Linked DNA regions of Callithrix jacchus. The protein of the gene in region 1 purifies or fractionates together with the protein of each later gene. This does not show direct contact. Links are inferred from orthologs where the notes say so. Each region holds a gene or a part of one and is shown on either strand. Other genes may lie near its edges. The genes, in order: CBX3, ZNF644, CCDC71L, CHAMP1, POGZ, MGA and CHAF1A.

The links.
Region 2: the proteins of CBX3 (region 1) and ZNF644 purify together in Homo sapiens (affinity purification with mass spectrometry; 3 studies listed by BioGRID and IntAct, with this or other methods). This does not show direct contact. The link is inferred for Callithrix jacchus from reciprocal best matches to the Homo sapiens genes CBX3 and ZNF644.
Region 3: the proteins of CBX3 (region 1) and CCDC71L purify together in Homo sapiens (affinity purification with mass spectrometry; 3 studies listed by BioGRID and IntAct, with this or other methods). This does not show direct contact. The link is inferred for Callithrix jacchus from reciprocal best matches to the Homo sapiens genes CBX3 and CCDC71L.
Region 4: the proteins of CBX3 (region 1) and CHAMP1 purify together in Homo sapiens (affinity purification with mass spectrometry; 6 studies listed by BioGRID and IntAct, with this or other methods). This does not show direct contact. The link is inferred for Callithrix jacchus from reciprocal best matches to the Homo sapiens genes CBX3 and CHAMP1.
Region 5: the proteins of CBX3 (region 1) and POGZ purify together in Homo sapiens (affinity purification with mass spectrometry; 7 studies listed by BioGRID and IntAct, with this or other methods). This does not show direct contact. The link is inferred for Callithrix jacchus from reciprocal best matches to the Homo sapiens genes CBX3 and POGZ.
Region 6: the proteins of CBX3 (region 1) and MGA purify together in Homo sapiens (affinity purification with mass spectrometry; 4 studies listed by BioGRID and IntAct, with this or other methods). This does not show direct contact. The link is inferred for Callithrix jacchus from reciprocal best matches to the Homo sapiens genes CBX3 and MGA.
Region 7: the proteins of CBX3 (region 1) and CHAF1A purify together in Homo sapiens (affinity purification with mass spectrometry; 5 studies listed by BioGRID and IntAct, with this or other methods). This does not show direct contact. The link is inferred for Callithrix jacchus from reciprocal best matches to the Homo sapiens genes CBX3 and CHAF1A.

Annotation. Positions count from the first base shown.
Region 1 is NC_133512.1:31,891,691-31,895,190, forward strand, and holds part of CBX3 (chromobox protein homolog 3), read right to left. Parts: intron 2,227-3,500; coding exon 2,064-2,226; intron 1-2,063.
Region 2 is NC_133508.1:128,468,519-128,472,018, forward strand, and holds part of ZNF644 (zinc finger protein 644), read right to left. Parts: coding exon 3,056-3,500; intron 2,930-3,055; exon of another isoform or gene 2,833-2,929; intron 1,113-2,832; coding exon 990-1,112; intron 1-989.
Region 3 is NC_133512.1:77,109,766-77,113,887, forward strand, and holds the start of CCDC71L (coiled-coil domain-containing protein 71L), read right to left. Parts: upstream 2,801-4,122; 5' UTR 2,674-2,800; coding exon 1,966-2,673; 3' UTR 1-1,965.
Region 4 is NC_133502.1:29,685,923-29,689,850, forward strand, and holds the start of CHAMP1 (chromosome alignment-maintaining phosphoprotein 1), read left to right. Parts: upstream 1-1,128; 5' UTR 1,129-1,269; intron 1,270-3,928. UniProt on the Homo sapiens protein: Required for proper alignment of chromosomes at metaphase and their accurate segregation during mitosis. Involved in the maintenance of spindle microtubules attachment to the kinetochore during sister chromatid biorientation.
Region 5 is NC_133519.1:11,361,835-11,366,090, forward strand, and holds the start of POGZ (pogo transposable element with ZNF domain), read right to left. Parts: upstream 2,801-4,256; 5' UTR 2,670-2,800; coding exon 2,662-2,669; intron 1,019-2,661; exon of another isoform or gene 835-1,018; intron 1-834. UniProt on the Homo sapiens protein: Plays a role in mitotic cell cycle progression and is involved in kinetochore assembly and mitotic sister chromatid cohesion.
Region 6 is NC_133509.1:44,854,819-44,858,318, forward strand, and holds part of MGA (MAX gene-associated protein), read right to left. Parts: intron 762-3,500; coding exon 471-761; intron 289-470; coding exon 1-288. UniProt on the Homo sapiens protein: Functions as a dual-specificity transcription factor, regulating the expression of both MAX-network and T-box family target genes. Functions as a repressor or an activator.
Region 7 is NC_133523.1:4,174,629-4,178,128, forward strand, and holds part of CHAF1A (chromatin assembly factor 1 subunit A), read left to right. Parts: intron 1-203; coding exon 204-264; intron 265-671; coding exon 672-740; intron 741-2,038; exon of another isoform or gene 2,039-2,145; intron 2,146-3,500. UniProt on the Homo sapiens protein: Acts as a component of the histone chaperone complex chromatin assembly factor 1 (CAF-1), which assembles histone octamers onto DNA during replication and repair.

The DNA.
Region 1 (3,500 bases):
TCTCCTGCCTCAGCCTCCCAAGTAGCTGGGATTACAGGTATGTGCCACCATACCCGGCTAATTTTTTATTTTTAACAGAGACAGGGTTTCTCCATGTTTGTCAGGCTGGTGTCGAATTCCCAACCTCAGATGATCTGTATGTCTTGGCCTCCCAAAGTGCTGGGATTTCAGGTGTGAGCTACCACCACGCCCCGCCCCATCAGAGTTTTATATCAATGTGACAGGCTCTGGCGTCACACTGCCTGGGTGAGAATGACAGACCTACCCTGCTCATGAGCTGTGTGGCTTTGGGCAAGTTAATTAACCTCTTTGTGGTAAGGTTAATAAAATAGAATTTTAGTATCTACTGCATAGGTATTTCACAGCACATGAAATGCAAATGATTTGGAACACAGTATGGCAAATGGTAACAGTTCAAAAAGTATTGTTAAAGTTGTGCTCGATTATCTAATAATTTTTTGTAACAAGGTCTTGCTTTGTTGCCCAGGCCAAAGTGCACTGGTATGATCACAGCTCACTGCACCTTGATCTCCTAGGCTCAAGCAATACTTCTGCCACAGCCTTCCAAGTAGCTAAGACTACTAGGCATCCACCACGTCTGACTGATATATTTTTTTCTTTGTAGAGACGGGGTCTTACTATGTTATCCAAACTGTCCTCCAACTCCTGGGCTCAAGCAATGTTCCTGCCTTGGTTTCCCAAGGTGCTGGGATTACAGGTGCGAGCCACTGTGCCTGGCCAAAACTGTGCTTCTGTTGAGCACATGATTTACTTTCAGAACCAAATATATAGTCAATCTCATTTCTTCATCCATAAAATAGTGACTATACCTATGACCTTATACACAATGAGTTGTCATGAAGGTAAGACTTCTTGGCTTCTACTTCAAATGATCAAGTTTCAAATCCCAAGTCCTTACCAATTAATATGTATTGTCTGTTTAGTGCCAGAGCCTAGAATCTAATTCAGCACAAAGATATCTCCCCAAATTGCCATACTAGGTCAGTAGGCAAGACAAGTATAATCTAGTTTTACAGTCAAGGGTAGAAGTAAGAGGTTACTTGACTTTCTGAAGCCACAGAGATATAAGTGAAGCAAAGATTGGACCAAAGCATATGTATACTGAAGGAACTAAATAGCTCATTTCATGCCAAGAATATGTGTAACAGTTTTTATTATCGAAGATTATATACTTCAAAATCAGTGCATTGTTTGGCAATACTAAGATGACACACAAGTACTTTTTGATGGTCAATGCCATTAATGAACTATAATCAGAAAGTTCTCTTTACATTGTTCTTACTGTAATACAATGGCTTTCAATAATCCAATCTTAGTATTGTTTGTACTAAAGATTGCTAGCCTTGGATCACGGGTGATTGGTTGGATCAGTGATCAACTCCATGAAACTAAGAAAAACTGCCCAAGTGGTATAAGCACTTACTGCACATTTACATAATGTAGACTAAACCACACCTATTCTTATTGCCCTAAGTATTAAAATATTTAAAGTAGAATTAAGAGGCCTTTTAGAAAAGTAGTTGAGATTTTTTTTTTTGAGACAGAGTCTCACTCTGTCGCCCAGGCTGGAGTGCAGTGGCACAATCTCAGCTCCCTGCAACCTACACCTGCTGGGTTCAAGCGATTCTCCTGCCTCAGCCTCCTGAGTAGCTGGGATTACAGGCATGTGCCACCACACCTGGCTAATTTTTGTACTTTTAGTAGAGATGAAGTTTCACCATGTTGGTCAGGCTGGTGATCCACCCGCCTTGGCCTCCCAAAGTGTTGGGATTACAGGCTTGAGCCACTGTGCCCAGCCTGAGTTTTTAAAAAACCAAACCATCAGGCGGGCACAGTGGCTCACGCCTATAATCCCAGCACTTTGCGAGGCTGATGGATCACCTGAGGTCAGGAGTTTGCACTGGACGGGGAGGTTGTAGTGAGCCAAGACTGCGCCACTGCACTCCAGCCTGGGCAACAGAGTGAGACTGTCTCAAAATCAATCAATCAAGCCATCAACCTTTTACAAACGGACAGGCTGCTAGGCAATACTGTATACTTACAGCATCTCTTTTCTTCTTTGATTTGCTGTCATCAGATTCACTGTCAGATAAAGATTTTCTTTTTGTACCATCTTTTTCTTTGCCAGCTTTTTGAGAATTAAGAAATGCTTCAATCAACTCTGGACAATCTAAATTTTCTTCAGGTTCCCAAGTATTGTCAGCACTGTTAAAAAAAAAATTCAATTAAACATGATTCATCCCCATTACCCAGATCCATTTTAATAGACACCTGGGGAAATAAAAAGTCCTCTGTACTGCAGATACTAATCATTTCCTCCTTCCCTACATTTTATTTCTCCCGACCCCGGAGACAGGGTCTTGCTTTGTTGCCCAGACTTGAGTGCGGTGATGCGATCAGCTCACTGAAGATTCCCAACTCCTGGGTCAAGCAATCCCCTGCCTCAGCTCCCACTCCCCACTCGCCCAGTAGCTGGGACTACAGGCATGCACCACCATACCCAGCTAACTTAAAACACTTAAAAAAAAAAAAAAGAGAAGGGGTCTCTCGCAGCTGGTCTTAAATTCCTGGTCTCATGTAATCCTCCAGCCCTGGACTCCCAAAGTGCCAGAATTACAGGTGTTAGCCACTGCACCCAGGCCCGACAAGTCTTTTGAGAGAAATCTGCTATTTTACTTCCAAGTGAAGTAAACTTTACTGTAACAGAATAATTCAAACGGCTGAACAAATGTAAATTCCCAATTCCCACCCCAAATTAGTATGTCATATCATGTCTAGGGTTGGGACCTCCAATGCCATGTTTTAAGACATAATGATTCTGAAGCATTAGACATTTTCAATTTTTGCTGGGTGTTCAAATTGGGAAATGGTATAGAGTGGGCTGGTAAACCAAAAGCTAAATCCAGTCTTTTGTATGGTTTGCAAACTAAAAATATTTTTACGTTTTTAAATGGTTGGAAAAATATTTCAAACTAAATTATACGTAATTTGAATTTTAGTGCCCACAAATGAAGTACCATTGGAACACATCCACACTCATCCGTTTAGATGAGCAGAGATGTAGAGACAAGAGACCTGTGGCCCGAAAAGCAGAAAATAATTACTACATGACACTTTAGGGGGAAAGGTTGCTGACCCCTGATACAATGTAAGGCTGAGATGACTATTTCTATGGATTTTTTAGAACTGCTGTAAAAAAGAAAATGAGTATCAATTAATAGACGTGAAAGTAAGATCACCCTACACCAACAACCGGCTTGCCAACTTCGTGCTCTGGTTCAAAAAAACCTTTACAGAACTAGGTGTGATGAAGTTAGTAATTTTAGGGACGCTGGGGTAACTGGATCATGAGGTTAGGGGATTGAGACCAGCATGCTCAACATGGTGAAACCTTGTCTCAACTAAAAAAAAAAACCACAAAAATTAGCTGGGCTGGGGATGGGCGCCTGTAATCACAGCTACTCAGGAGACTGAAGCAG
Region 2 (3,500 bases), on another chromosome or scaffold:
AAAGATTGGAAAGAGAATTTTAGGCAAAAGAATTTATGTAGATCTATGTCAAAAAGAGGGTATATTTTAAGATGTGAGGGAAATGAGATTTGCTAAAGCAGTATAGCTTAAAAGACTACAAATGAAGTGCAAAGCATTTTGCAGGTTATAAGAAGCATATTACATATAAGTAAGCTAATAAAATTTTCACAGATGAGCAGCATTAAGAGGTATCTGCAAGGTTGGGCTAACCAACCAAAAATAACACAGAAATTTGCATGTTAACACTTATGTGCATAGCTAAATTTATTAATCTTTAATATATTTAAGAGGTATTAAAAATCTATTCACCTGTCAATACAAGCCATTATTAAGGCTTGCCCCTTCAAAGATCTAATCTACAGACTAATGAAAATTCATTAGTTTGCTTAGGTTTCTTATCAAGTCTACATTTTGGAATTTCCCTATAATTTCCTTTTCTAATAAAGGATTTCCCCAAGCTAGAACTACAATCTTTTTATGCTATGTTGCCCAGGCTAGGGTACAGTGGCTATTCACAGGCACAATCACAGCACATTACAGCCTCTAACTCTTGAGCTGAAGTGATCCTCCTGCGAGCCTCATGAGTAGTTGGGACTATAAAGGCACACCACTGTGCCTGACTAGAACTATAAAGAGAGGTGTTTTTCTGTAATCTAAAATAAATTTAAAAATCAAAAATAGTATAATTCTAAAAAAGAAATGGGATTAAGGTAGACTCAAAATTTCACATCTCTTGGGTTAATTTTTTTTCCCCAAATTAAGTCAACAAGAGCCAAAGGAAAAAGATTAACGTGCTTAGAATTATATCTAACAGTTTACAAGTTGCTGAAATTTATTCAGAAATGTATTCAGACAACTGCAGCTTACCAAAGAAAGTTATAAATATGATCTGAATTAACACCAGTTTGGTGGGGAAAAAAAAGTGTATTGTATCAAACAGACTTGCTGTGATATCTGTTCAAACATACCTGTACCAGTCAAAAGTCCAGCACTCTTCTTTCGTGCATAAGCGCGTAAGTGGTTGGACAGGCTAACAGCACTTGTAAACGTCGTATTGCAATGCACACATGTTCTAAGCTTCACAGGCATACCTATCATTCAAAAGAAAACTATAATCCAGTTCTCACTTCAAGAAGTGAAATTTTCTTAGCTTAAAGAGTGTAGAAAAGCACCACAATAAAGATGGTTTTAAAAACGTTCAATGAAATAGATTAACGTAAAATAAGGCGGGGAAATTAACTGTTATTAGTTTGTAGTTAGTATTTACAGCTATCTCATGCTCTTTGGAAAGGTAGAAGAGGAGTGACTTAAACCTTTGAGCTCCTCTGGATATAACACCTATTATCACTTTCTTGCAGATTTCTGTGTTACGCAGATTATTTCTTAAACCTACGAAAATGCAATCCTGTGATTTGAACACCATGGTTCTGTTGAGAAGTTTCAAAGCTTACAACATTACCAATAAAAAGAATTTAAAAGTCTAGTTGACAAAGTGGTAATTAAAGTGTTTTACCCACAAAACCGTAAAAGTCTCAATACTAAATTAGGTTTTCTGATGAAGGCTGGGAGAAAAGGTGGTAAAACACACCACTGAACAGCTGTTAGACACAACATTTTATCCAGGGTATTTTATGTTCATTACTCTGAATGCGCAATCAATAATGAAAGTTAATGATCTGAAGTTTTTTGCTAAAATCTTTGTGCTAAATAAATGATCAACAAGCTAACATCTTAGTCATCACAGGAAAGAAAACATGTTCAACAATAAAAAACTCCTCACTTCTCAAACAATCCTCACTCCCCCAACACGTTTCAATTGATTTCTTCAGCATTACTGTGACAGCCACAAATATGCTTTCCATCTCTGAAGTATACTACGCCTTGGTCAACACAGCTAACACATCATCCCTGCGTTTTATCCTTCTGAAAGAATACTGAAAGCTAATGACTTTCAGAGACTCTTTATTCAAAAGAAAAAGCTGTATTAAACAGAACCTCATGTAAGATAAATTGTTTTCCAGACCACTTACAATACAAAGTAATCTTTCCTTAAATCAAAATTGCATTACAACTATTTGGGATATGACAATGTCTACCCCAAAGCAAATAAACAACATTACAGTCATTTTATTCATTATTAATCCATTTACTATTACCTCAGACACATTCAACTTACATCTCTAATGAGACCAATTACATAAACCTTTAACATTCTTAATCTTCAAAAAGGAATCTAGAAAAGACACTTAAAATTTTTCTAATCTAAAAGTATAAACCAGACTTGGCAATAATGAATAAAGTTTGGCTACTTTATCTGCCACATTATTTGCCAATACACACAAAATATTCCTTCCCAAAGGAAAAACTATTGGTATACAAGTACTAAGCCAAATCATCTGTTCTGTTCCATTAGAGCACTATTTTAAAACCTAAAACCCCAAACAAATATGTTTTATGTTCACAACTGTTCTCCAAAACCAAACTATCCCACAATACAATAAGGAATTGGAGAAAGGAGATGCTTCTTTAGGTTAATCACAACAGATACCAATCCACTCAGCTTTAAGAGTCTGTTTTGTTTCAACTAAGCAGTGGAAAAACCAACAGCTAAATCTTGAAAACATGATCACCTTGGAGCACTGGCAAAAATACGACAGAGGTATGCCTTTTCAATAACACTGTGCTTTCGAACACCAACCTCCCATTCGCAATCATCCTCCAGCCACAGCAAATTTTATTTTTACAGATCAGCTTTTTGTTTGTTGTTTTTGTATGTGTATGTGTGTGGTTTTCTTTTGCTTTTGTTCTCACCTTACATTCAGACCAAGAAAAGAGGCACAGAGAACTCAGTGCTAAGGAACCTCAACTGATGAGTTATACAGAAATGACAGAATAACCAATCTGTGCTCTGTAAAAAAAAAAGCAGCTTAAGCAAGAAGATTGTGAGAAAGTATTTTCCACATATATTCCATTAAAGAAAGCATAATTGAATGCATTTAAACTGTGTATAGGATAGTCATAAACGTCCTCTTACCTGAGTGCATAGTCAAGTCCATTTTTTGTGGCTGATACATCAACGGACTATCTTCATTTAATGGAAGAACGCATTTCTGAACGAATCTCTTTCTTGCTGTCTGATTATGGATCTTTTGAGGAGAAATAGAAGAATTCCTTTCTTCTCCCATCCTTTTATTTTTAAGAAGTTCTATGAGTGTAAGAGACTGATTCTTTTTTCCACTGGGCAGTTCTGGTTTTGTTTCATCATATTCATTTAAGAAATTCAGCCCTTCTTCTTCTGATGCAGACACTGACAGAGCTTCAGTCTTTAGGCCATTTCGGTATGCTTCAAGAGGTATAACATTTTGAGATATAAAGTCATCACTTGACGCAAGTTTTTGAGCTACAAATGGTCTGGGAATAATACGACGACTGTTCAATGCCTTTAAGATTTTTTCATATTTTTCTTCATTTTGCATCAT
Region 3 (4,122 bases), about 45 Mb from region 1:
ATCACAAATATGATTTAACATTCTCTATCTTCTAAAGAATTATTCATTTTTGTTTACTCATGTGACAGTGTTTGTAACAATGCATTATCATTGAGTAGTGAATAAAAGACCGAGGCTTACTAGAAAACTGGCATAAAGTTATATATATGTGTGTGTGTGTGTGTGTATATATTCTTTTAACAAAACAAGAATACTGAAATTAAAGTCACAACACTCCTATATGGACTACTAAACTTGAAATATTCATTTCAGAAAGCTATGCCATTTGAATTCTAGGAACACAAGAGTTAAAATTGCAACTCTCATTATTGTCCTAAGAAGCTGCCAAGCAGAGATAAACTTTAGTATTAAGGATTTCACATGTCAAGTTCCAGCCCAGTATGGATCGTTTTATGGCAGAATATTTAAATTTCAAATAATAGTGGTACAAAAACACTACTTGACCCTTTAGGTATTGCAGTAAAAGTTGGCTGTGGCACCACTGGTTAAAAACTATTAAGTCTTCCTGCCACAAATGACCAAAGGCACTTGGATAATCAAGAATTCCACACTGGGCTATATGGTATAAACACTATAAAAGCGTAAAGCAGGGTCAGTAGCCTGTGTGGCTCGCCTGTTTAATTCCTGTGGTCTTCAGCTGTCAAAGACCTAGAACTGGAGACATGAGTGGCAAGAAGGTTAAAAAAATGATGTGACCAAAAAGTCAACTTAAAGTCAACTAATATTCATGATGTTTGTAAAAGTGAATATTAGTCTAGACATTTCTTGTTATCCAACAACAACAAAAAAAAGGAAATAGATTTTGCCCAAAGTAACCTCAACCAGTTATTTGATACCAAGAAATGCCTCCACCCCTCTTCATTAATAGTTCTCAGAACTCAAATGGGTATTCTGTATATCATTTTAGTCATAATGTTTACACACAGGCATCTCTCCTATGCAAGTCCCATTTTAAAATACATTTTCCTCGTAATGTATTTCAAAATACATACTTTAATGCATAATATTCCTGGATTTGTATGTTAGACCAGGAGAGGGGCCAAATGATCTCCAGTCAGATTCCAGTCACTCCTGCAACCAAAGCCAGTTCTTCACAATTCACTCATTTTTTTAATCACACGCCATATGGTTTCAATGCATTTTTTTTATTCAATTCAAGAGAATTTAACAAGTTAATTTTTCCTAAACAAAAGTTTTCACGTGTATTCTACCATTTTTAGGAGCTCAGTAAATATAAACATTAAGTTTCAATATATAAAACCTTTAGAAACACCTTGAAAATGTTTAAAGTTATATTTTGCATGTCTTTGTTTGTAATCACTGAGCCCATCCAAATCCTTGCACTACTAACATTCACAAGCTTGAACCTCTTAAAAAATATCCTCCATCAAAGCTTTGGAATCCAGTAAAAATTAGGAAACGAGTGGGCTTCAGAATACCCTGAGCACAAACTAGTGCAACACCACATGTTCGAACTTCTGTCCAGAAAGAGGGGTGGCAGTGAAAAAAAGGGGGGAATAAAGAGCAAGTAAATTCTGGCTTTATTACACAAGCACAAAACCAAATTCCTTTGGAAAAATAATGTCTTCTTCGGAGGACTTCCAGACCAGTGAGGTAGAGTCCAACAGGGAGAAAACGGATCTGCCCCTAAGGTCCTGGAGACGTCTCAATCTGGGGTCAGGAAGGGACCTCCCCTATGGGTCCGGCTGTCCCCTCCGTCTGCAGGCCGGGTGATGGGGGCAGCAGAGGCCACACTTGCCCCGGAGTCCAAGACGACGGCGCCACGGCCCGGGGGCGCAGGGCAGGGACAACCATCCGGTGACTTCTTCGTGCATAAAGTGCACTGGGGGCCGGGGTCCTGGCCGGATCTGTAAACACTCGACTGACACTTGTCCATTCCTCCGGGAGGAAGCTCTGTCAATTCCGCCGATCGGAGCCGGCAGGAGGCGCTACGGGGGCCGCGCCTCACGCTCGGGGCACCGGGAAGCGGCGGAGCCTCACCATGGGTTCCAGATTCACTTGCAGGATCTGGCGTGCTCTGCGCCGCGCCGCCGCCAGGCTGCGCTCACCCCACACGTCGCTGCCGACGCGGATGGTGGGAAAGGTGGTCAGCGTCGGGGTAGCAGCCCTCCAGATCTCCTCCAGGGTGCGGCCCCCGAAGCAGGGCCCGGGGGCCACAGGCTTGTCCCGGCAGCTCTCCTCCGGGGCCAGCAGCGGCGCGGGAGGTGGCTGGGGCTTTCTCCTGCGGGCGGCAGTCGCCCGGGCTCCGCGGCGCCTCCTCTTGGCCATGGCGCGCGGTGCCGGCCGGCGCGCCTGGCTGCGGGCGGTGGGGGGTAACGGGGGGTCGGGCACCAGGGCCCGGCAGGAGGAGTAGCCGTAGACGTCCTTGCTGCGCAGGATGTGCGGAGAGAACTGGTGCTTGAGGCTGCAGAGGAAGCTCCAGAGCTCCGCGTCCGAGCTCATGAACTCCGTGCTGCGGGGCATGAAGATCTTGAAGGCGTCGCCCAGCGCCTTGGTGCTGTCAGCCAGCGACAGTTGCGACCGCGAGTACACCACCTTCTCCTCCTGCGCCTCCAGCCCGGCCCCGTCTTCTGCCCTAAAGCCACCGCCCCGGGCGGCCGCAGCTGGGGCGACCGGGGCACGGCGCCGCCGCCTCTTCATGCTGCGACGCATCCAAGGCCGCTCGTACTCGCCGGGTCCCGCTGCCGCCGCTGCCGTCCCACTCCGCGTCGGCTCCGCGGCGGTGGCCGCTGCTGGCGTCTGTAGCTACTTTTCTCGCCTCTGCCGCCGCCCCTCCCCCTCTGAGGGCGGAGGACGCGGGCGAATATCCTGCCGCCCGGTACAAGATGGCGGCCAGCGCCCACCCCTGGGCTTTGTCATTGGACGGCGCCTCACCCCCCCTAGTTTCTCTTTCTTCTCCTCTCTTGCCTCTTTTCACCGGCTGCCTTTCTTTAAATGTGCCCGCCTCAGGCCCCTCCCACCACAGCCCCGACTCCACCCATTGGGTGCTCTCAGAAGAGGGGCGGGGACTGATGAGGGAAAGGCCAGTTCCTGGAAGATGGTGCTGGGGTGGGTGATGGTGATGGCCTTTGAACGTAAGTCAATGGTTGGGTGGTTCTAGGAGCGTTGCCATGTCTAGAGTAAGAGGGTGAATGTTGGCTCCACCTTGGGAAGAGAGACTCTCAGAGTGAGGTGGTGTGCAGTTGTGGATTGAGCTGGGAGCTCTACCAGTGTGAATAACAAAGGGAGATTTGCCTAAAGGATGTTGCTGGTATCACGGATAGGGAATTTGGGTTTAAGTCTAGGGGAAATGGGCCTTTCACGATTCCCATTCACCCTCTCAAAGGCCTCTTCTGGCATCTTCATTCAAAACTCTTCTGTCTTGACCCCAGTCCTTCTCAAGAAGCCAGTAGTAATCCAGAATCATTCAGCTAATGTGCGTGGGTGGCAGCTGAGAGACTGGAGTCTCCCTCTGGACAGTGGAGCCATCTTCATATTTAAGACAGACTCTGCTTATCCAGAAAGCAAAGCATCTCATACCCTATAAAACTAAACACTCTGCTCAAATTGATCAAAGATCAATTGCAATAAAGCCATTCTGTGTAATATACATAGTTTTAAATACACAGCTCTTTAAGAGTGCCAGTTCATTCTTCATTTAGTTTTAAAATATCAGAGCCATCCCTATCATTTAGAAAGGATGCATCATTGCAAACAATAGATAAGTTTTTGTTGAAAAACATTGTTAAGAACACATTACCTTTTGTATTGAGAGGAGAGTTGTGGACATTCTTTAGTCATCTTTCTGTCCTCTATACCTAACTCAATTCCTGTCAGGTAGTGGGTACTCAATGTGTTTGCTGCATGGATCAGTGATAAGTTTTTGTTGAAAAACATTGTTAAGAACACATTACCTTTTGTATTGAGAGGAGAGTTGTGGACATTCTTTTTTTTTTTTTTTTTTTTTTTTGTGGACATTCTTTAGTCATCTTTCTGTCCTCTATACCTAACTCAATTCCTGTCAGGTAGTGGGTACTCAATATGTTTGTTGCATGAATCAATGAAAACCACTGCTTATCCCAAATGGAGTCAGAAATGGCTTAGAACAGGACAATTTTATAT
Region 4 (3,928 bases), on another chromosome or scaffold:
GAGTTAACATGTGATGCATAGTTTGTTTTTCAAGATGAAAGACTTACAGAGATGGATGGTGGTGTTATGAATACACTTACTACCACTGAACTGTACACATAGAGATAGTTAAGACAGTAAATGCTATGGTTTTTGTTTTTATTTATTTATTTGAGACAGACTCTCGTTCCGCCGCCCAGGCTGGAGTGCAGTGGCGTGATCTCGCTGCAACCTCCGCCTCCCAGGTTCTAAGGGATTCTCCTGCCTCAGCCTTCCGAGTAGCTGGGATTACAGGTATGTGCCACCACGCCTGGCTAATTGTGTATTATTAGTAGAGACGGGGTTCACCACGTTGGCCACACTGGCCTCGAACTCCTGACCTCAGGTGATCCACCCGCCTTGGCCTCCCAGAGTGCTGGGATTACAAGCCTGAGCCACAGTGCCAGACCATTCTGTAGTTTATTTTAACCACAATAATAATAAAAAGTAAAACTTCAGAAGGGTTCAAATGTAGAGAGCATCGAGCTAATTTCACCGTGTTTCAAAGCATACAGACTGATGGCGTCAGCATTAGAGGTGCATGCATTTTAATTAGAATTGCGGTGGTAATATTCATAAGACTGAAGATAACTTCTGGGGATCGGACTTTCACTGGAGGAGAGGTGATGAGAAGAAATATTGGCATCCAAGAACTATGTTGATTTGTTTGTATTTTTGTCATAGGCATTATGCCAGAAGTATCCCTGACAATGTATGGGGCAGGTCCAGCTCTTTTTTTCCTAATAAATTCATTTCTACAACAATCAAAAAGGCAAGAAGAGGAAGCGATATCGGCAGGGCGGCGGCAGCCCCGGACCATTCCAAGGTCCCGGCGGGAGGCCAGAAGCCAGACGCAGCTGAACCCTCGCGGAGCCGACCCGGGCGCGCGCGGGAAGCGGAGGCGGAGTGGGCACGTGCGGCACTTCCGGGGCGTGGCGGGGCGGGCGCGCGGCACTTCCGAAGGCCCGCGCGAGTCGCTAGTTTTGCCCACGCACTTGTGGCACTGCCGCGCCACGCGATCGGCAATCTGATTGGTCCGCGCCGGAGGGCGCGCGGCGCCAAACTTGCTTCCCGTCAGCCCCCGCCCGTGCCGCGGGCACGCGCACGCTCGCGCACCCGGATCCTGGCTCCTTCGTCCAGTCGCCATTCGGGAGGCCGCTGCGCTGCGGGGCCTGGCTGAGCCGCCCGCGACCGCGAGCCGGGCCCTCCGGGTCGTCCTTCGCCCACTGGACGCCGCCAGCGGCCCGACCGGTGAGGAGCGGAGCGAGCGGGGAGGGCGTGGCTGGGGCCTGCATCTCCGAGCCCTGTGTCGGCCGCCGACTTGGCAGGGCCGCTCCGGGAGGAAGCCGCTTGTCCGAGTGAAGGGGGCCTGCGCCGCCTCGCCCCCTACGCGGCCGCGGGAAGGGCCCGCCCCCGGAGTCCGGGCGGGAGTGCGTCTTTGTGCCGGGAGCGGTGAGGCCCGGTGTCACTCGCGGCCGAGGCAGGAAACACTGCATGTGAAATCATTGGGAAGTTGGGGGCAGCACGGCACGCAAGCCATTCTTTCCGCTTTAGTCCTAGGCTGCCTCCTCCTCTGTCATTATTACTGTTTAAAAATCCGCTATACAGCCTCCAAAACGGCAGAGGAGAATGGTGAAGGGTTAATGTCTGGAATACAAGAAGAGATGCAGCTGACCAACAAAAAGCAACCAGCTTAAGAATGGGCAAGGAATTTGGATAGATATTTCTCCAGAGAAGATAGACAGATGGCCAGTAAGCACGTGCAAAGATGCTCAGCACCACTAGCCATTAAGAAAATGCAGATGAAAGCCGCAGTGAGATACTACCTCATACCTGTTAGGATGGCTACTAACAAAAAATGGGAAATTATGAGTGTTGGGGATGTGGAGAAATTGAAGCTCGGGTGCACTGCTGGTGGGAATGTAGCGTGGTACAACAGCTATGGGAATTGGTGTGGTTCCTCAGTTCTACAAGATTTGTACCCAAAAAAATTGACAGCAGGGACTCAGTTACTTGTTCACAAATGTTCATGGCAGCATTATTCACAATCCAGATGTCTATCAACAGGTGAATGAAAGACAAGCTGTGGTATATTACATGTAATGGACTATTGTTCATCCTGAGGAATGACATTCTGATAGATGCTACAATATAAACGAGCCTCGAACACATTATATTGAATGAAATAAGACACAAAAAGACTAATACTGCATGATTCCCCCTCTGACACAGAAAGATTAGACATTACCAGCACTGAAAATGCAGAGTGGGAGTTAGTGTTTTATGAGTACAGAGTTTCTGTTTGTGGTTAAGTGATTCTGGACGTAGATAGTGGTGATGTTTGCACTACATTTTAGAACTAAACTAAATTGTGATTTTAAAAATGATTCAATGGCAAGTGATTTTTTTTTTTTTTTGGACGGAGTTTTGCTCTTGTTGCCCAGGCTGGAGGGCAGTGGCGCGACCTCAGCTCACTGCACCCTCCACTTCAGCCTCCCGAGTAGCTGGTATTACATGCGCCCGCCACCACGCCGAGCTAATTGTTTGTAATTTTAGTAGAGACTTGGTTTCACCATGTTGGTCAGGCTGGTCTTGAACTCCTGACCTCAGGTAATCCACCCTCCTTGGCCTCCCAAAGTGGCAAAATTACAAACATGAGCCACCGTGCCCAGCCTAAATGGCAAGTTTTATGTTCTATTTACCATCCTTTAAAAAATACACATGAGAAATCAAAACTACTGAGTTAGTAAAAAGATGAGTGGTTGCCAGGAGCACAGGAAGATGCTAAGCAATGAAATAATTTTGTGTGACTACCCTAGCAGTGGATACATGATGCTATGTATTTGTCAAAACCCATAGAACTGCACATCACAGAAAGTGACTCCTTGGTCGTAGTGGTTCACATCTGTAATCCCAGCACTTTTGGAGGCCAAGGTGGACAGATCATGAGGTCAGGAGATCAAGACCATCCTGACAAACATGGTGAAACCCATCTCTACTAAAAATACAAAAATTAGCTGGGCATGGTGGCAAGTGCCTGTAGTCCTACCTCCTTGGGAGGCTGAGGCAGGAAATCGCTTGAACCCAGGAGGCGGAGGTTGCAGTGAGCAGAGATAGCGCCACTGCACACCAGCCTGGTGGACAGAGCAAGACTCCGTCAAAAAAAAAAAACAAAAAGTGACTCCTTGTGTAAACTATAGACTTAATAAATCAATGTTAGTTCATCATTGTAGCAAATGTCTCACACTAACAAAAGATGTTAATACTAGTTGAGTGTCCTTTATTCGAAACCAGAAGTGCTTTGGATCTCCCCTCTCCCCTCTCCCTTCTCCCCACTTTCAGATTTTGGAATAGTTGGCTTGTACTGTTTGAGTGCCAAAATGCTCCTTTTGGCACTTCTAAAGTTTTGGATTTTGGAGCATGTCTGGTTTCAGATTTTCAGATTAGGGATGCTCTCTGTAGTAGGAGAAACTGGGGGCTAGGGAGTTGGTGGAAGGAGGTATATGGGAATTCTTGTATGTTTTTGTTTAAACATAAAACTGCTTGAAAAATTCATTTCTTCCTTTTTTTTTTTTTTAATTCTTATGGAGATGGAGTCTTACTCTGTTGCCCAGCTGGAGTGCAATGGTGCAGTCTTGGCTCACTGCAACCTCCGTCTCCTGGGTTCAAGCAATTCTCCTGCTTTAGCCAATCCCAAGTAGCTGGGATTATAAGTGTGCACCATTATGCTCAGCTAATTTATATTTTTAGTAGAGACAGGGTTTCACCATGTTGGCCAGTCTGGTCACAAGCTCCTGTCCTCAAATGATCCACCCATCTCAGCCTCCCAAAGTGTTGGGATTACAGGCATGAGCCACCGCGCCTGGCCAGTTGATCCAGTTTTTAAAGGCTGGGCATGGTGGCTCCTGTA
Region 5 (4,256 bases), on another chromosome or scaffold:
TTAATAATAGTAGGCCAGGCACGGTAGCTCATACTTGTAATCCCAGCACTTTGGGAGGCCGAGGTGGGTAGATCACCTGAAGCCAAGAGTTAGAGACCAGCCTGACCAATATGGTGAAACGCCGTCTTTTTTTTTTTTTTTAATTGAGATGGAGTTTCGCTCTTGTTACCCAGGCTGGAGTGCGATGGCGCGATCTCGGCTCACCGCAACCTCCGCCTCCTGGGTTCAGGCAATTCTCCTGCCTCAGCCTCCTGAGTAGCTGGGATTACAGGCACGCGCCACTATGCCCAGCTAATTTTTTGTATTTTTAGTAGAGACGGGGTTTCACCATGTTGACCAGGATGGTCTCGATCTCTTGACCTCGTGATCCACTTGCCTCGGCCTCCCAAAGTGCTGGGATTACAGGCGTGAGCCACCGCGCCCGGCCTAAACGCCGTCTTAAAAAAACAAAAAAACAAAAAAACAAAAAATACCACCCGGTAGGCAGAGGTTGCAGTGAGTGGAGATTGAATAAAATAAAATAATAATAATCTTTACTGCTTCAAGGGCATTCTCAACTATGTAGTTTGGTGCCACTGACTTGCTTTGTGCTAAGGTACTACCAAGAGTTTTATCCAGCATTGCTTTTGAACCATCAGTGTGTCTGAAAAAAAATCATCTTACTATCATTTTAAAAATAGTTATGACCTTGAGGCTCCCCTGAAAGCGTACGAGGAGATCACCACGGGTCGTCTGTCCACATTTTGAGAACTGCTTTCCTAGATTATACCACTAGTTCAAGATGGGAGTGGAAACTCTAACAAAATCACATTCGTCCCGAGTCTATTCTGTTACCTCCTTTAGTTTGACATACTCCACCAACGTAGCTCTGGAAAAGGGAAGGAAATCAAGGGCACAGGTGTCTTTTAATTGTTTCAACATTTTGAACACTTTTATGTTAGACCAGTAATTCTCAAAGTAGCGGTTAATCAGCCTCCACTGTACGACTACTCATTTTAAAATGTAGAGATGACATTCCCCACTCTGCCCCATTCAAATAAACTTGGGGGATGAGGCCCCTCCAATCTGTACATTTAACAATGTTCAAGGTACTTTTTATGCACCCCGAACTTGAGAACGAGTGTGCTAACAGTTCAAATTCAGAGTTCAAGCTCTCAGACCCTGAGCAACGAGGTCTCGAAATTCATCCTGCCCCCGCTGTTTCCCTTTCATCTAGTAGGGTAAACTACTATAGAAGTAAAATCCCAGCCAGGCGCAGTGGGTCACGCTTGTAATCCCAGAACTTTGGGAGGCCAAGGCGGGTGGATCACCTGAGGTCAGGAGTTCGAGACCAGCCCGGCCTACGTGGTGAAACCCTGTCTCTACTAAAAATACAAAAACTAGCCGGGCGTGGTGGCACATGCCTGTAATTCCAGCTACTTGGGAGGCTCAGGCAGGAGAATCACTTGAACCCGGGAGGCGGAGAGTGCAGTGGGCAGAGATCGAGCAACTGCACTCCAGCCTGGGCGACAAGAGTGAAACTCCGTTTAAAAAAAAAAAAAAGCAAAACCCCATTTGTGTGGAGTTTTGAGCTGTGGTGAGATGTGTCTACGAGCATGGAGGGACCGGCTACCCCCTGCACCAAAACAGCAGCTACTCTGAGATGGTAAAACTGTATCTTAATTTCCATTTGGAAAATGAGACTGGCCACCAAATGACTCTGAGGACTCTTCAGCACTCACTACCTTTCTCTGAACTAAGAATGTCTAACACAAGTAAGCCGAGAAACGTTCAGTACTACTGGTAGTTTGAGGGAATCCCACAACTGCAGAGGAAGGAAATCAGAACAACACGCAGAAAGAGGTAAAGCAAGTGGATCAATGACAGTACTCCTCTGCAAAAGGTGCCAAGAATCTAGAGAAAATAGTCCCCGGGATAAACATGGCGCCCACCGCGGCAGGACATAATCACCAGAAAATAAAGATTCCCCGCCCCATCTCATTTTATAAATCACGGCGCCATCCCGAAAGAAATTTGGGGGCCCAGGGAGGAGACTTCGTAAACTAGCTACAGTGCACTAAAGCTTAGGATGTACTATTAGACCAAGCAGAGATTACATAACACAAGGGATGGGCTCAGCAATCACTCATTTTCCTCCTCCCGCTCAAAATGAGCGTCCCACTCCCTCTCGGAGCGGGGGCAGGGCGGGAAGGGGCGCGCACCCCCATCCCCAGGGGCCGCTCCGCCGCCGCCCGCCCCCTCCGCCGCGCGGCCTCGCCCCCTCGCCCGCCCCTCCCGCCGCGCTCCGCCGTCTCGCCGCCGCCCGCGCCCCCGCCCCTTCCCCAGCGGGCCGCGGGCCGCCAGCCGCGCCCGCGCCGCCCACTCCTCCGAGACGCCTCGCGCCTGGCGTGCGTGTGGACGTCGGGCTGTGTGCGGGGCCGTGGGGCGCGAGTGCGCGCGCGCGCGCCACGGCGGGCGCCGGGGGGCGGGGGCGGCTGGCCAGCCGGCAGGCAGGGGCCTCCGCCGCCGGCCCTTCGCGCGGCTCTCGCGGCCCGGGGCGCACGCACACACACTCGCGCTCGCGCGTCGCACCCCACGGCCGCCCCTGCCGCGGACCGCGCCGCCGCTGGCGGTGGGCGGGGGCGCGCGCCGCCGGCCCCCCGCCCCCACCCCCGCGCGTACCGGCCCATCCCCCTCTCATTGTCTGGCCTCCGAACGCTTCGCCGAGCGAAAAGATAACGGAACCCCCGGGAGCAGGGGGTGGGGAGAGAGAAGGCTCGCTTGCTCACTCACCTCCCGTGGTCGTCGCCGCCGGTAGTCTGACCCGAGGAAGGCGCCGTCGCCTTAAAGGGACCTTGCACCCGGCGCCGGGAGAAGGGGGTGGGAGCAGGGGAGGGGACGGGGGCTTGGGGGGAGACGAAGAGGGAACCGTTGAAAGCTCGTCTCCCCAAGGGTGAAAGGAAGCCTCCCTCGGGTTCGAGTGATTTGGGGTGGATTTTTTTCCCGAGGGGGGCGGGGGGGCCCCGAGGGAGGGGGGTGGGGGGGCCAAGGAATGCGGCTCCGTGTACGGGAGCTGGCGCGGGGGAGAGAGACGCCGACTCCCCCCACCGACCCTCTCGCCCCGCGGAGTGATACGGCTCGTCACTTCCGCCCTCCCCCTTTCACGGCCTCCCAATTGGTCGGAGCGCGCAATACGTCATGGGCTCATCCAAACCCCTGCCCGGGCTTCTTTTCTAGTCAAGTTTGGCTGGGCCTGCAAATAAATAAATAAAAACATTTTTTATAATGAAAAAAGAACAATTAACTTCAGAAGCTCTATCTAAATTTTGGCGAGAAAAATGAGGCTCCCAAAGAAAATAATCTCCAATATACTTGCCTAGACTTCCCAAGGAAGTGTTGGGAGGCTCCCCATTGCCACTCAAGGCTTAGACCCAGTCAAGAGGGGACTTCATGACACAGGCCAGGTGGTGAGGCCCAGTGGCACCAACAACTGTCATTGGAACAAAGAATGAAATGGCACTCACTCTTCCTCAAGAGACACGGCCAAGTAGCCTTGTGGCTGTGGCCTTGTTTAAGTGAAGAACTTTTAAAAGCCATTTTGACTCTCAAGGCCATCTGGATCTTGGAAAGAAGTGGCACACAATTGTTAACCAAGGCAATTATTGTGAGGGAAACTGCTTTGCTCCCATTGTAGTGGATTCAGCAGAGATCCCCAGTTCTAAGAAACCACGCACAATCCACATCCATAAGCTTTTTGCTCCAGTCAAGGCTGAGATGGGTTGGCTCAAAGAAATTGGCGAGTCCACTCGTGGTCATCCAACTGTTTATTCTTCCCCAGAATAAACTAACCGCTTCTCATATAGCTAAGAAATGTTGTCCTTCGTTGCCTTCTGAGATGATAAAAATTTAATATTTTCCTTGAATATTTGAAAATGTTTGCTCTTTAAGCAGTACACAAATATGTGCTCCAAATGTAAAATCAAGGCACTTGGTGCAGAAAGGGGAGATACAGAACTATATTTGTTCGTTCTCTTTATATACATACTCCAAACCACGGACTGTGAAAATAGGCAGTGGAAGTAGGCATTCCAAATTGTATGCATCTGCGTGTGTGTGTGTGTGTGTGTGCACGTGCACGTTTGCGCGCGCGCGCACACACACACACTCACATTGCCATCACCCAGCTTCATTCCATTTCATACCAAAACCATGTGAGTGATTTCCACTAGTGCGGGATGCTTAAGAAGGACTTCATTATTTGAGAAGAATCACTAATC
Region 6 (3,500 bases), on another chromosome or scaffold:
CAACAGGCTGTCCTCCTGAGCTATAGGTTATTTTGGTTTCAGAGCCTGTTTTACTTGCAAAGCTTTGTGGTTCAGGAGCAGAAATCCTCAGGGTCAATGTACCAGCCTGAGACACAAAACTAGCTCCAGAGGAAAGCAATGATGGTGCCTGAGTGATAACATTTACTGCTGAAGATCCAACAGCTTGGATTACAGGATTCATGACAGAGAAAGCAGAGGATGAAGTGGAAGACGGTGGAGTCTCAGAGGGTTTGGAAGGAGCAGGTAACCGGATTCCCATCACAGACCCTAGTTTAAAAAATAAGAGAGAAATTTTTAAATCATGACTGCCTATATCAAGACTTCCAATGCTTGCTTTTCTTTTTGGAAAAGCAACTCTAAGAAAGGAAGAAAAACTATCCTGGTGTATTAACATACCATATGGCCAACTGATGCAACAAAAGAAAAGTTAGTAAGAAAGAAGTTTATACCTGGGTTCCGAAACATGACAGGCTGTAAGTTGGGCTGAGTATTAGAGCCTCGAAGCTGATGCAAAGGTAGAAGCTGGACAATTTGCCCATTAGGGTGCCTGAATAGGTTCATTCCACTTGGACTCCTAACAGGCTGTAAGACCATCCGATGTCCCTGAAGTTGTGTGTTTGAGACAGGTCTAAGAGAAGGAGAACCCTGCTGCACTGGAATCAACAATAATCGAGGTCCAGCACGCTTCACTGTGTTAGAAGAGACCTGTGGAGTAGCCACTGGAATTTGAGCAGCATTTTCTGAAAAACAGGAAATGGAAACATAGTACGAAAACTCCCCTTTAACACATGTACGAAAAAAAAGTATTTATAATTTTTAAATTTTTTTGAGACACAGTCTTGCTCTGTTGCTCAGGCTAGAGTGCAATGGCACAATCTCGACTGACTGCAGCCTCCACGCCTCCCTGGTTCAAGTGATTCTCCCACCTAAGCATCCTGAGTAGCTGCGACTACAGGTGCACACTACCACACCTGGCTTATTTCTGTATTTTGGGGCAGAGACAGGGTTTCACCATGCTGGCCAGGCTGGTCTCAAACCCCTGACCACCAGTGATCTGCCCTCCTTGGCCTCCCAAGGTGCTGGGGATTACAGGCATGAGCCACTGCACACAGCTTTTTTTTTTTTTTTTTTTTTTTTTTGAGACAGAATCTCACTCTGTCGCCCAGGCTGGAGTGCAGTGAGGCGATTTTGGCTCACTGCAACCTCCACCTTCTGGGTTTCCAGTGATTCTCCTGCCTCAGTCTCCCATGTAGCTGGGATTACAGGTGCCCATCACCATGCCCAGCTAATTTTTATATTTTTAGTAGAGATGGGGTTTCACCATCTTGGCCAGGCTGGTCTTTAACTCCTGACCTTGTGATCCACCTGCCTCTGCCCTTCAAAGTGCTGGGATTACAGGCATGAGCCACCACACCTGGCCTATTTTTTTTTTTTTTTTAAGAGACAGGGTCTCACTTGTCACCCCAGCTTCAGTGCAAGGGCTCAATCATAGTTTGTTGCAGTCTCTAACTCCCGCCTCAACCTTCCAAGTAGCTGGGACTACCAGAACCTGTCACTACACCTGGCTAATTATGTTATTCTTTGTAGAGTCAGAGTCTTGCTTTATTGCTCAAGCTAGTCTCGAACTCCTGGCCTTCCAAAATGCTGGGACTGCAGTCATGAGTTCACCATGCCCAGTCAAATAAACAAACAAAAAAACTATTAAGGCACAGAATCTGACCTTGCTGCAAAATAACTTCTAATCTGAAATATAAAGTTGCTGAAATTCTGTACTTTCATTAATACATTATTTATGGCTGAGAACAACCAGACATTATGGAGCTTTACACTTAGAATGGTAAAAAATAGAGTATCAATTGTCAAGAGGCACATTTAAAGAGATAATACTTCTGCCTAAATAAAAACATGGGTATCCCTCTAAATTTGGATTTCTGTTAAAGAGATCCTTTATGATAAAATTATTCTTCAATTTTATTTTATTTATTTATTTATTTATTTTTGAGACAGAGTCTTGCTCTGTCCCCAGGCGCCAGGCTGGAGTGCAGTGGCGCAATCTCGACTCACTGCAACCTCTGCCTCCTGGGTTCAAGCAATTCTCCTGCCTCAGCCTCCTGAGTAGCTGGGATTACAGACACACACCACCATACCCAGCTAATTTTTGTATTTTTAGTAGAGACGGGGTTTCACCATGTTGGCCAGGATGGTCTTGATCTGTTGATCTCGTGATCCACCCACCTTGGCCTCCTGAAGTGCTGGGATTACAGGCGTGAGCTACCGCGCCCGGCCTATTTTTAAAATTTTTTTAGAAAGGATCTCACTCTGCCGCCCCAGCTGGAGTGCAGTGGTACCAGAGCTCACTGCTGCCTCAAACTCCCAGGCTCAGCCAAAGGAGCTGGGACCACAGATGCAAATTTTTGTTTGTTTTGTTTTGTTTTAGAGAGAAGGAGTGTGCTGTATTGCCCAGGCTGGTCTTCAACTCCTGGGGCTCAAGCGATCCTCCTGCCTCAGCCTCCTAAAGTGTTGGGATCATAGGTATGAGCCACCATGCCTGGCCTCTTTATTTTTTTAAATAAAATCCATATCCTGCACAATTTAACTTTAAGGCTCATAACACTTACTAGAAATATGACTGAATTTCTAAGCTTATACTACCTGAGGAAGACAAAGAACAAAAAATTCTTGGTTTATAAAGGGCTTCTTGGTTTTTAAAATTCACTAATAAGCAAAGCTTAAAGGTTTGTGGGAATTACTTTTCAGAAGAGAAAAATGACATAAAGCCCTCAAAATGTAATAAAATTAACACACATCATAGAAGCAGGGAAATAAACCTGGCTTAGAAAGGCAAAAAGGCCAGGTGGCTCATGCCTGTAATCCCAGCACTTTGGGAGGCCAAGGCGGGTGGATCACCTGAGGTCAGGAGTTCGAGACCAGCCTGGCCAATATGATGAAACCCCATCTCTACTAAAAATATAAAAATTCGCTGGGAGTGGTGGCAGGGTTCTGTAATCCAAGCTATTCGGGAGGCTAAGGCAGGAGAATTGCTTGAACTCAGGAGGCGGAAGTTTCAGTGAGCTGAAATCACATCACTGCACTCCAGCCTGGACAACAAGGGCAAGACTTCATCTTAAAAAAAAAAAAAAAGAGGCAAAAGATGCTTTTAAAATAGCTTTATAGCAGAAATTTAATGCAGAAGATGTGAATTAATAGAGATTTCAAACCATTAACAGTACTTACAGATGCCCTTTACTGATTAGAAGAGATATTTAAAAGAAATACTAAAGACATAGGAAAAAACAGTACAAGTAATCTAGATTTCTTTTTTTAGATCAGAGAGATAATAGTAAGCATAAATAAAACTGGTCTAACATTACTATTCAAATTGGTGAGCTTATTTAACATTAATACATAAAACTTCAAAAGCTTGCTACTCAAGAGAAAAAAATCAAACAAATGAAACAAAGATTTTAGCTTAACAGGCA
Region 7 (3,500 bases), on another chromosome or scaffold:
TATATATTCTAGTCGCAGGAAGAGTTTCATTGTCTATTTGTCGTTTTTATTGTGAAGGCCTACGTTATAGCTTTATAGTAACGTGGAAGTAACATATTCGTTGCTGCAAAGTTAAATACTTGCCATTTACTAACAGCTGCGTACCGTGGTCCCTTCCAGAACGTAGCAAAGAGTCAGCTGAAATGTCATTTGCTGTCTCACAGGGCCAAACTTGAGGAGAAAAGGAAAAAGGAAGAAGAGAAACGGTTAAGAGAGGAGGAGAAGGTAGCGTGTTTCCTTCAGAACTTCCCCATCCCAGCCCGTTGAAGCAGATGCACAAGGTGGAATTCTAGCCACAGCTGTCGTCTTAACGTTCTCTTGGTTTGAGGAAACCAAATGGCGCCCCCAGGAGGGACGAATCTCTAGATGCATCCTTTCGCTTCTTCTCAGTGCTGGTCTGTCACACGCCTACTGGCCCCATACCCTGGCACTTCCACCCACAAGGGCAACTCGGACATTTTGAGACTGGCTGGCATGGTTGCGGGTCTGTGGGTTTTGAGAGCTAAAAAAATCACAGCAGAGCCTTTGAGATAACATGCTTGAGTTTTGGTGCTGGGGGACATTTGCATGTTTTGAAGCGTGCACCGTGTCTTTTCCGCTCTTCTTTCTCATCATTTTCTCTTACATCACAGCGTATTAAAGCAGAGAAGGCTGAAATCACCAGGTTCTTCCAGAAACCAAAGACTCCACAGGCCCCCAAGGTGAGCAGCCGGCTGCCTTTGCTTTCCAGTTTCGGCTGTTTTCTCTCTGAAATTGAAAGGATCTGGCACCAGCCAGCTTCTCTGATCATGAGGCACGGAGCCTCTGGTAAGCCAGGAAAGTTCGTTTTGGTAAACTCTTGAGGCTCAATATTTTGTCTTCGCTTTGACCCAAAAAAGGTAAAAAGTGGCGTGTCTGATTAAAAAGTGCTGTTTTCAGAGGCTGCTTCTGAGTAATTTTGTGTTAGGCGTTAAGAGAAGTTAACCATGTTTTTACCCTTGGGAAACTTAGGCTTGAGGGGCAAACATAGCCGCAAAACAGTAGAATTCACAAAGATTTACTTTCCCCACCTGGCGTTGGTCACCTGACAGCTCAGACCTTCTGAGCCACCATCTGTGCGTGGAAACCACAGCCCTCCGTCCCTTTTACCCAGAGGGAGCCTGTCTCCGATGTTAGCGGGCCTTCAGTGCCTTTCCCTGCTCCACTCACTGTCTGTTCATACATGTGTGTACTTAGCTGTCTCGGGTATGTGTCATATTGCCATATTTAGGTGGATTTCATTCTTTTTAATGTATCTATCTGCCGTTTATTTATTTATTTTTGAGACCGGGTCACACACTGTCACTTAGGCTGGAGTGCAGCGTCACAGTCAGAGCTCACTACAGTCTTGACCTCTCAGGCTCAGGTGATCCTCCCACCTCAGCCTTCGGAGTAGCTGGGACTACAGGCATATGCCACCACACCTGGCTAATTTTTTTTTTTTTTTTGAGACAGAGTCTCACTCTCGCCTAGGCTGGAGTGCAGTGGCGCAGTCTTGGCTCCCTGGGGTCAGGTGAATCTCCTGCCTTAGCCTCCTGAGTAGCTGGAATTACAGGTGCTCACCACCACGCACAGCTAATTTTTGTATTTGTAGAAGAGACAGCGTTTTCCCATGTTGGCCAGTGTGGTCTCAAACTCCTGACCTCAAGTGATCTGCCCACCTCAGCCTCCCAAAGTGCTGGGATTATGGGCATGAGCCACTGCGCCCGGCCTAATTTCTAAATTTTTTTGTACAGACGGGATTTTGCTGTGTTGCCCAGGCTAGTCTTGACCTTCTGGCCTCAAAAGCTTCTCCTAGCCTTGGCCTCTCAAAGTGCTTGGATTGCAGGCGTGAGCCCCTGCTCCTGGCCTATCCTTTTATTTGTATCTCAAAATACTTCACAATTGCATATCTTGAAGGTGCACAACATGACATTGTTGTGCCTACACGTTCCGTAGTGACAAACACAGACCCACGTCATTTCTTTCTCTTTTATTAAAAAAACATATGGACTGCTCCACGAATTTTTGTGTCATCCTTGTGCAGGGGCCGTGCTCATCTTCTCTGTATCGTTCCGATTTTAGTCTATGTGCTGCTGAAGCGAGCACTGTTTTTGTTTGTTCGTTTGTTTTGAGATGGAGTTTTGCTCTTGTTGCCCAGGCTGGAGTGCAGTGGCGTGATCTCAGCTCATCACAACCTCCACCTCCCAGTTTCAAGTGGTTCTCTTGCCTCAGCCTCCCGAGTAGCTGGGATTACAGGCATGTGCCACCACGCCCGGCTGATTTTGTATTTTTAGTTCAGACAGGGTTTCTCCATTTTGATGAGGCTGGTCTCGAACTCCCAACTGCAGATGATTTGCCTGCCTCGGCCTCCCAAAGTGTTGGGATTACAAGCGTGAGCCACTGCGCCTGACCATGTCATTTATTTTCACTGTTGGATAATACTTAATAATGCAATGATATCATGGTTTCTCTCTCTCTCTTTTTTATTTTTATTTTTGAGATGGAGTTTCGCTCTTGTTACCCAGGCTGGAGTGCAATGGCGCGATCTCGGCTCACCGCAACCTCCGCCTCCTGGGTTCAGGCAATTCTCCTGCCTCAACCTCCTGAGTAGCTGGGATTACAGGCACCTGCCACCATGCCCAGCTAATTTTTGTATTTTTAGTAGAGATGGGGTTTCACCATGTTGACCAGGATGGTCTTGATCTCTTGACCTCGTGATCCACCTGCCTTGGCCTCCCAAAGTGCTGGGATTACAGGCTTGAGCCACCGCGCCCGGCCTAAAATTTTATTTATTCATTTGTTTATTTTTTTTTTAAGACGGAATCTTGCTCTGTCACCCAGGTTGGAGTGCTGTGGCTCGATCTTAGCTCACTGCAATCTCCACCTCCCGGGTTTAAGCAGTTCTCCTGCCTTGGCCTTCTTAGTAGCTGGGATTACAGGCACCTGCCACCGTGTCTCACTAATTTTTTATATTTTCAGTAGACACGGTTTTCACCAATTTGGCCAGGTTGATCTCGAACTCCTGACGTGAGATAATGTGCTCACCTCAGCCTCCCTAATTTTATTTGTAGTAGAGATGGGGTCTAACTGTGTTGCCAGGGCTGGTCTTGAACTCCTGGCCTCAGCAGTTCTCTCACCTTAGCCACCCACTGTGCTGGGCTCACAGGCATGAGCCACAGAGCCTGCCGCTATCTCAGCTTCTCTGCCCCTCAGTGGCACAGTAGGGGTTCCTGAGTATGCTTCTCTGCACACATGCGTCCTCTGGGACAGCCAACCTCTAGGACAAAACAGCACATTGCTGAAACGTTGTTAGCCATGGCCAGAGTGCCCGCCAGACAGGAAAACTCAGGTGTACGTGCCTGGCAGTGCCTGACAATGTCTCTTCCTGATTCTGTGATATTAATGGATGGAATGAATTTTAACTTTGCCAGTCTGATGGATTAAAAAAAATTGATATTCTT